Linked DNA regions of Arabidopsis thaliana. The protein of the gene in region 1 interacts with the protein of each later gene in a biochemical or structural test. Each region holds a gene or a part of one and is shown on either strand. Other genes may lie near its edges. The genes, in order: AS2 and TCP2.

Region 1 (5,259 bases):
TTGGGCCACCCTTCACAAACTGTTTATTTTGTTCCAAGGATTTTTCAGTTGAGAGATTATGTAAGCAAATTTTGTTTTCTTCACGTAACAGAAATTCGATCTAACTTATGTCGAGATGAATTGCTAAAAGAACCATTATCCCAAGTAAAATGTATTAGAAACCTCATACTTGAATGAGGAACCCTAAAATATGTATAGAGGATTGTGATAATGTACTCACTATCAATATAGTCAGTTATAAGTTAGAATTCTGTTAAAAGTGTTAAAATAATGTTTTGTTTCAAATACTTAGTTTATCAAATAAACTTTTTTAATCTTTTTATGTCACCATGAGTTATCTGAATAAAGATGTTTATATATCCGCAAGACTAGTCAAAAGTGGATAGCTCCATTAACTGTTATAGTGTAACTATTCTAGTGTAACAATTCTTAGAAGTATTTGGTTTTACTATTTTAGTCTTACTTTCTATACTTGATTGTTCAGGTAACATTTTCAAAATTGGAGATGATTTTACTTAATCGTAAACTTATTACTTATATACTAAAAAGCTTGTAAGTAGGGCCCGAAATGTGGAAAACATTGTAATTTAAATCCAAACTAGTTTTAGAAGAAGACGCAATGTATATATAATAATGGAAAAATATGAAAACGATATCAGCCAAACATACTTATTATGAATATTAATTGGAGAGAAGGAGTGTAACCATCCATATGGTGTGAATTCTATGATTTTTGGACCCATTGTTATAAACGAAGGAAGAAGACAAAGAACATGAAGACATGAATAGTTTTATTTCAAAAGTAATGAATAAATATATAAATAAAAGGAATGGTTGTCGTTTGAAAATGGGTACGAGTAAATAGTGTTGCAGACTCTGCTCCAACAGTAATTACAACAATGCAATATGCAACCACGACCCACTTGCTTCTATTCATTTCCCATTCTTGTTCTCTCTCCAAATTGACTAATGTTTTAAATGTTATATGATCATGATAACCATTCTTTTTTCTCTTTGCACGCTTCTTCGTTAGGTTAGGTCGTACGTAAAAAGTGATGACCTAATCGTAGAGACCAACTAAATTTCGGTTCTGATTACTTAATCGAGTGTTTAAATTTGCTTAACTTGACATTTGTTACCAAGAAAGGAGAACTAGTAGTGAAAAAAGAGAGTTTAAAACCTTGACAATCGCTTAACCCAAAGTTTTAGAATATTTCTGCTAGTACATAAGGTAAATGTACACATTTATTGTAGTTGTTGTATTGGTTGAATTTGGCTCTGTTGGTTGAGGTTTCAGATTCATAAAAAAAAGTACTGTAGTTACTAGTAAAAATGAACTTGAATTATGGTTGTATTGTTGTTATACAAAAATGGCACACTTTATGAAACCAACTAAAAACAAGTATCCATTTCTGATAATAACATTTTCGAGGATTTTTAAGATATACAACAAAATGCAGAACTATATACAAAGTCTTGTGTCTTGAGAATGTAACTTCAATTATTAACACCAAAATGTCTAAAAACCTAAAGCATCTAAGAAACGGTGCCACTGTCTCTAACCCCTTTCTCAACAGTTCGATACAAAACTTCCATTAATGTTTTTCTATTCCCTTCACATTTGGAAATTCAAACTAAAAATGCATAAACAAAAAATACTATAACCTCATCTTAAAAATTACTAATGTCCCAGTAACATTAATCTCATAGGGTTACTAATCATGGGTTATCTTTTAAACTCCAAAAACAAAGTAGGTATCATTATATAAACAAGTTTCATGGTATATCTCCTAATTTTCCCGTAGAGGAAAGTATGAAGATATATATAGAGAAGAAAGACAGAGTCCGTGATCACTCACTCTCTCTCTATCTCTATATATCGACACACCATAAAAGTTGTTCTTTCTCTCCGTTTCCTTAGCCTCTGCATCTGGGCGATTTTCTCTTTCTATCTCCCTACACCTTAGGGAGTACTGATCCTAAACTCATCATCTTTCTATGCCTTCCTCTTTTCTTTCACTTATTTTCTTTTCTATTTTTTTTCTTTCTTACTTTGCGTAAAACTAGCGAGTCAAAAATAAAGACACTTGCATGATCCTAATATAATATTATATATTGTAATTAGAGAAAGAGAGAGAAGAGAAGAAAGAAAGTGGCAGTAGATTCTTATGGATTTTGGTATAAAGAAACATGAAAAAATGGGTTTGACCGAAGAAACTTTGAGGACGGTAACTTCATTATCAACTTTTCGACTGTATTTATATTTTAGCTTTTGTCAAACCGTATCATATAATATTAATGCGAATTACTAGTAGAGAGTATAATAATAGTAATAACAAAATGCTTGGTTACTGTATGTAAATCCCTAGACAAAAAGAATAAGAATAAAAAGAGCAAAATTCTTCATCCCAAGATCCATCAGGAGAGTCAGAGTCAGACCCCATCTCTCATTTCCCATCTCTCCTTTTCACATTTATTTCCTTTTTTTTCTTTCTAGATACTTTTTTATTTTGAAATTTAATACTAATAACTATACATTTATTGTTATTATTGTTGTTAGAGTCTATGCTAGGGTCCAAGGGTTCATCCCAATATCCCTTCTTCTCCTTAGAAACTCGCAACTTCTTCACATGGAAATCAATTCCCTCTAGTACCAAATCCTATTACTATTGAAGGTATACTCTATAGTTATTTATTTAGTTAAGTATATATATTAAAAATAAATAACATTAATTAGTACTAGTCTTATCATATTTATTAGCTCATTTTCTTATAAAATACTAATATAATAGGAAATTTAAGCACAAGATGAGCTTTGCCCATCGAGAGCCTCAAAACCCAAAAGTCTCTTCTTCTTCACGAGATCCAATCTTTTGCTTTTTAGTAATTAATTACATCTTCTTCCTTCTCTTCTCTCTTCTTCTTCCCTCTCTCATACCTACCTATAAGCAACACAAAGAACACCATTGATCCCATCTGTTTTGTTCCCTATATTTCGTTAATCCATCCATACGCATTCCAACTACACGGTACAAATTTCCATCTCTTTTTAATTTGTTTTTATAATGATTTTAAATCTCTCAGGTTGTCTCTAGACTCTTAGGTCTAGTTACCAAAATTTGACTAGCAATCATATAGCTACAAGTTCCTCTATATCATATAGCTACACATATCTCTAGGTCTGAAATGATCTTTTATCTCCCAAGCATATATTATATATTTGGATGCATACCTTTATGTTTGACTTTCGAAAAGCACCTTCATGTTACTCATTTTTTCCTCTATTTGCTTTCAACAGTTGACAAGAAGGTTGGATCAGTATATATAAGTATACATATACACTTATGTGTGTGTGTAGTGTATGTGCATATATAGCTCACCAAATATCTTTAATACTACTAATTGCAAAGTTTCTCTTATTTTACAGCTTTTTGTATGCAACCCCAAATAGCAGCTTAAAGAAAGCAGAGAGGATCTTCTTTTATTTCCCCTCTGAGCAACAGAAGCCATTATTCAAAGAAAGGCTTCTTTAATTTACTCGCAGGTAAAAGCTTTCTTATTCTATAGAGATTGAACAACTTTTTTTTTTTTTTAATTGACAACAATAAAGATTGAGCAACTTCTCTACATTATTTCTTTCTTTATTTTCTCACTTAATTTCATATTTGATTACAAAAACAGATAATGTAATATCTCCAAAATCACAATTGATTTCATAATATCTTTTTTTGTTTCCTTATACCTTCTACCTCCAAAAACTAAATTCAAAAACCCTTATTTCTCTCAATTTTCAATGGCGGCTTTGTGTAGGGAGAGGGAAAAGAGAAAAAATTGAAAAACTCCATTTTCAAGTCATTAAAATGGCATCTTCTTCAACAAACTCACCATGCGCCGCTTGCAAATTCCTCCGGCGAAAATGTCAACCGGAATGTGTATTCGCGCCCTATTTCCCACCGGACCAGCCACAAAAATTCGCAAACGTTCACAAAGTGTTTGGAGCAAGTAACGTGACAAAGCTCCTCAACGAGCTTCACCCTTCACAACGTGAAGACGCAGTGAACTCTTTGGCCTATGAAGCCGACATGCGCCTCCGTGACCCTGTCTACGGCTGCGTCGGCGTCATCTCTCTCCTCCAACATCAGCTTCGTCAGCTTCAGATAGATCTCAGCTGTGCTAAATCTGAGCTCTCTAAGTACCAAAGCCTCGGTATCCTCGCCGCCACTCATCAGAGTCTTGGCATCAACTTACTCGCCGGAGCAGCAGATGGAACAGCCACCGCCGTGAGAGACCACTATCACCACCACCAGTTTTTTCCTAGAGAACAAATGTTTGGTGGCTTGGATGTTCCGGCCGGTAACAACTACGACGGTGGGATTCTTGCCATTGGACAGATCACTCAGTTTCAGCAGCCGAGAGCCGCCGCTGGAGATGATGGTCGCCGTACTGTTGATCCGTCTTGAGATTTTAGGGTTTTGGTGGTGTTCATCTTCGTCGATCGCTTGGTGATGAGAAAACTATAATTTTAAGAAAATATTTGATGTGGAAAACCAAAATATTTTAAACGTATGGTACGTCTCTCTTAATGACATTAATTTCGGTTTTTATTATTATTATTACTTAGATATATTATGATAGTCACTTTTGTATTTCTTTCAAATTTTATGGACTTGCTCTCTTAATTGATATCACATACTTGCATTATAGAGTATATTATTTCCAAATATGTCGAGTCTATTGATCCGCATATGTACCTCCAGCAAGAATATAGACCTAAATTCAGTTAATCATTGAGTGATTTTAATGGTTAATGTTAGACTTCTTAAGTATTTAAAAAACATTATTAGTAAAAATTATGAATATGAAATATAGTGTATACCATGTAGATAAATGTATTATAGTGTTTTCCTTTTATTTTTTTTGTAGTTCAAATTTTAAAATTAAATAATAAAGGAAAACTATTAAAAACATTTAAAATTGACATATTTATATAAATGATATTTGCAAGAAAAGAGGTTTGATGTGGAACACTGTCAGCGTCAAGGATAAGATTTGATGTAAGAAGAGGCTTAACGGAATATAACATGAACATGAAACATCTTATCTCCGGGCGAATTATACCCACTAGCTCTTTCTAGGCTTTCTCTCTAATTAAAAAGTCTCCTTCATCTATTTATGATGACTCTATTTATTGTTGTTGTAAATACTAATTGTCACATCAACTAATTTAGTTTTTTTTGATAAAGTTACTAGTTCCTTATT
Region 2 (5,144 bases), on another chromosome or scaffold:
GGACTGATTGTCAAAAAAATAAAAAATAATCATTTAGAGGACTTGGATGAGCAGAAGCAGAAAATTAAAAAAAAAATAAGCATGAGAAAATAAGTAAGCAGAAATTTGGGTGACCAAGAAGCAGACACGTGCAGTGGTCTGGTAAAGGCAACAGTGATCGAGAAGTGAGCAAGTGTCCGTTAAGACAGCGACACGTGCTCTCGAGACCGTCGTGAACCACTTGCTCTACTTCTTTCCCTTTTTCGTCATTTGTTCTTAATCGCAGTTATTGAATTCCACAAACCACATTAACTAATAACTAATCTGTACTTATTAAAGTTAATAGAGTATGGTGTAATACCACTTGACTAAAAAAATACTACTAGATTATTAAAATTGCAAACGATTTGTACTAATTCTTGAATTAAATTGTGCGTGTTTTTTCCATGAAGTTCTAGTGATGTGATGTGGGATTGACATAGTGTAAGTTATTAAAATAGGGGTTTGGATTTCTTTATCAATATGATTTGTTAGGTGGAAAAGAAATGTATAGGTTTTAAAATAGTTTTCATTCTTCCTTAAATATCATTATCCCGGAAATTTAGTTATTTCTACTTTAAAATAGTTTGTTTAATTTTTAGATATTTGCTTGGATTATGTGCTTACTTTGATAATTGTTTTGCATTGTCTCCAAAATAAAATTTGTTTTTATATTTTTATTAGGCTAGTACATGTTATGGTTAAAAATAGAAAAATATCATAAAAACTGCTAAATTTAGACATTTTCTCATATAAAATTTTTATTTTTTTTGTTCTATATAAAATCCCAAACTTTTCAAATTTGAACCCGAGCAATGGCTGACTAAGACCTATACGATAATTTAGTTAAAAAGGTCGTTGACGACATATTTTTCATTTGATTAATTTTTGAAATTCACACATAATAGTTACAATTTTTCTAATTTCTAAGATTCATAGTATAAGTTTTTATCGTAATAAAGATATTTTTTTGGTAAATAACAATTAACATTGTTATGATACGGACAGTATATATATTTCCATGTAGCATTTTTTTATAAAAAAATTTCATTAACATAAGCAAACTTTAAACACATAAACAAAATATAAATAATTTACTCACATATCTAAAATTAAAAGACCTCAAACCAAATAGATAATAAAAAAACAGAGGAAGGATTCGAGCTTTATGCTCAAGAGAGAGGGTCGAGTTTACTCTGCAAAATGTTCTGAATATACAATATTAATCATGTCGGAGAACAAAAAGACTAAGAGTGTAGGCGAGACCGCGAGAGTTCCTTTTTTAAAGCAAGTAGATAAAAACTTGGAAAACTAGCTTGAGAATGAGAGATATGTTTATATTGCGGTATGAATCTTTTATCTATCTAAATCTATGTTCCGAAGGAATTGGTGGAAAACCATGAGCTTTACATGTAAAGAATGATAGACCAAACCTATTTTGAAAACATAAAACATGTAGCATTTTTTATGATCGAAACATATCATAGAGTAGATTATTGAGTATTAATCGAATTCTATTTCTATGAACAAACTAAAATCCTAAGGACACTTGGACAAAGTGAATTGTTTTTTTGTTTGTTCTCCTCTCCTACATAAATATACATGTGACATGAGATAATATGATTTCTCATATTCACGCATTGATTTGTTTCTAACATTTCTATAGCATTTATGTTCACAACTTCTTGATATAATAGCTGCCAAAAAAAACTTCTTTAAATATTTTCTTGTGTTTTTATTGCCAAAAACAAACGAAAATATCAAATAATTTTTCTCACCTGAAATCAAATTACTGAGGATGATAATTTAATACAGATATTTTGTAGAGGACCGTGGCAATTCCGTGAATAAGTAATGTAATGAAGGGCAAAAATGGAAATAAAATCAAAGTTTATGCCCAATATCTCTCTCCCCATCTGATGATCACTCCTTTAAAATCACCATCAAAGAAATTCCAATTTTCTCGGATTTTTATTTCTTATATACAAATCCCTAAAACCCTATAGCCCTCTTTCTTCGTCACCTACTACTACTAACTCCAAGCTCAAGCTCCTCTGTTTCTTCTGTAAGTCTCAATTTATCTCATCGAATTTTCCGAGAAACAAACAAAAACCAATCTTTTTCATAGAAAGAATCTGAATTTCGTGTTTATACTTAATTCTGATTCCAAAAAAACAATTCTAGATCTAAGATTTTTATTTCTTGATGAGAATTTCACTGTAGAAAGAAGTGTATTTGTTCCTTTAATTTGCTTTAAAATTTTGGTTTCATATAATCTCAAAGCCAAGAGCTTGACACCTGTGATCTGCATAGAATCCAGAACACATCAATAATGATTCCTTTTTAAGAATTTTTAAATTGATTTAATCTTCTTGTTGGTTACTATGAAACAACTCTTTTTCTTTCATAATTAGAAACACCAAAATCTTTATATAGAGAAGAAAAGCTTAAAACTCGATTTCTGCATTTTTTGTCTTCTTACTCTTTAAAGCCCTCCATTGATAATCGCTTCAGCCGAAAGCAGTTGATTCAGCTTAATTATTTATCATAGCTTCTGATTCTTCTTCTAGCTCCTTCTTCTTTAATCACGATCATTAACTTTAAACCCGTTTTATCAATTGTTGTGATATGTCAGATCTACAATGAGTAGAGCATAAATTCGAATCAGAATAACTGATATCTTAATTATGTGTATATATGAATGAAAGTCATCTGTAGAAAAAGTCGATAAGGATGTAACATATATATATATATATATAAGCATTTATGTATATATATATGTGTAAAGATTTGTTCTTATGAGATTGTTTCTTTGTTTTTGTTATTGCAGGCTTGTGGTTAAAAATCATTTCAGACACAGTGCTTTTGATGACTCTCTGCAACAAACAACAGCAGCTGCAGACAAAGCTTATACGAAGCTGTATCTACTGACTTTGATGGTGAAATATCAAAAACCCTAAATTAATTTTAAAAAAAAACACATTTTTTTTCTTCTTTTGGTTTTTCCTCTGAGGGTATTCATCATCAATGCTTACAAAGTACAGTGGGTAAACAAAACAAAAACAAAAACCCATTTTTTTCTCCTTCTTTAAATCCCAAACCAACCCTAAAGTTTTGATTTTTAATTTTGGGGGTAACCAAAAAAAAACAAAACCCTAATTTTTTTTCTTTAGTGATGAGATTATTGGTGATGATGAAATGATTGGAGATCTAATGAAGAATAACAACAATGGCGACGTTGTGGATAACGAAGTGAACAACCGGTTAAGCCGGTGGCATCACAATTCTTCCCGGATAATTAGGGTTTCACGAGCTTCCGGTGGTAAAGATCGACACAGCAAAGTCTTGACTTCTAAAGGACCACGTGACCGTCGTGTCCGGTTATCAGTCTCCACCGCTCTTCAATTCTATGATCTTCAAGATCGGTTAGGTTATGATCAACCTAGCAAAGCTGTTGAATGGTTAATCAAAGCTGCTGAAGATTCAATCTCTGAGCTTCCTTCACTCAACAACACTCATTTTCCGACCGATGACGAGAATCACCAGAATCAGACATTAACAACAGTTGCTGCTAATTCCTTGTCTAAATCTGCTTGTAGTAGCAATTCAGACACGAGCAAGAACTCTTCTGGTTTGTCTTTATCAAGATCGGAGCTTAGAGATAAAGCTAGAGAGAGGGCTAGAGAGAGAACAGCTAAAGAGACCAAGGAAAGAGATCATAACCACACTTCGTTTACGGATTTGTTAAATTCCGGTTCAGATCCGGTTAACTCAAACCGGCAATGGATGGCTTCAGCTCCTTCTTCATCTCCAATGGAGTATTTCAGTTCGGGTTTAATTCTCGGGTCGGGTCAACAAACCCATTTCCCTATTTCAACAAATTCTCATCCTTTCTCATCAATCTCCGATCATCATCATCATCATCCTCATCATCAGCATCAAGAGTTTTCATTCGTTCCCGACCATTTGATATCACCGGCAGAATCCAACGGCGGAGCATTCAATCTTGATTTTAATATGTCAACACCCTCCGGCGCCGGAGCTGCCGTCTCCGCCGCATCAGGTGGTGGCTTCAGTGGTTTCAACAGGGGGACCCTTCAGTCCAATTCAACAAATCAGCATCAGTCATTCCTCGCTAATCTACAGAGGTTTCCAACATCAGAAAGTGGAGGAGGTCCACAGTTCTTATTCGGTGCACTGCCTGCAGAGAATCACCACCACAATCACCAGTTTCAGCTTTACTATGAAAATGGATGCAGAAACTCATCAGAACATAAGGGTAAAGGCAAGAACTGATGATATTAATTATTGCATCTTTGGTTTTGTTCAAATGCTCATTTTGTATGTTTATCTTTGGTTTATTTCAAAACAAATGTTAATCTCTTTCGTTGTCTGATGTGTGTTAGGGTTTTGTTTTATGTATTGAGGGTCTTTGGAAATCTTTTTGCATTGTGCTTGTAATGTTGTATTTGTGATAATAGCATTTTGTTTGTGAGTTTATAATTGAATTTTTGAATGTTATTTTTGCCATGTAATTGGTATAGTTAGCATTTTTTTTTTCTTTAGTAAATTGTTTATAGTACGAAGATACTGTTTCTTGGTATTCATGAACAAATGGTAGGTCAAGGCAATAGGGCGATCCTTTTAAGGTACTAGATTGAATCAAATCAAATACTCAGAAGAATTAAATACAGAAATTAAGAATTTTCCCAAAAAAATAAAAAATACAGAAATTAAGTGAAGAGACAAAAAAAAACTTGTAAATAAAAATAGAAAGAAAGAAAATATACATAATAATCAGGGAAATAAATAATTTTGATAGACAAAACTGAAAAATTGAGGGTAAGGCCATTATGCATTGAAGAGAGTGAAAATCAAAATGAATTGTCTCCTGTTGTGCTCTATGTTTGGTTCCCTTCTTCCTTAGCATCATCTCTCTCCATATGTATTGTTTTTATAATCTATCTATCTTATGAATATATCTTCTTCATTTGACAGCTGTTGTCTTCAACAATGGCTATTCCCAAATTTTCATGATTTTATTTCTTATGATCTGTTTATATTATTATAAGTTTTTTTAACTTTTTCTTTCATGGGCTACTTGATCTTCTGCACCCACATGGCTA

Evidence for each region.
Region 2: the proteins of AS2 (region 1) and TCP2 form a complex in vitro, tested with the Arabidopsis thaliana proteins (one study listed by BioGRID).

The regions. Positions count from the first base shown.
Region 1 is NC_003070.9:24,396,286-24,401,544, forward strand, and holds AS2 (Lateral organ boundaries (LOB) domain family protein), read left to right. Parts: upstream 1-1,857; 5' UTR 1,858-2,228; exon of another isoform or gene 2,229-3,029; intron 3,030-3,032; exon of another isoform or gene 3,033-3,427; 5' UTR 3,428-3,544; intron 3,545-3,810; 5' UTR 3,811-3,860; coding exon 3,861-4,460; 3' UTR 4,461-4,701; downstream 4,702-5,259. UniProt on the Arabidopsis thaliana protein: Negative regulator of cell proliferation in the adaxial side of leaves. Regulates the formation of a symmetric lamina and the establishment of venation.
Region 2 is NC_003075.7:10,162,382-10,167,525, reverse strand, and holds TCP2 (TEOSINTE BRANCHED 1, cycloidea and PCF transcription factor 2), read left to right. Parts: upstream 1-1,942; 5' UTR 1,943-2,083; intron 2,084-2,848; 5' UTR 2,849-3,216; coding exon 3,217-4,314; 3' UTR 4,315-4,604; downstream 4,605-5,144. UniProt on the Arabidopsis thaliana protein: Plays a pivotal role in the control of morphogenesis of shoot organs by negatively regulating the expression of boundary-specific genes such as CUC genes, probably through the induction of miRNA (e.g. miR164). Participates in ovule development.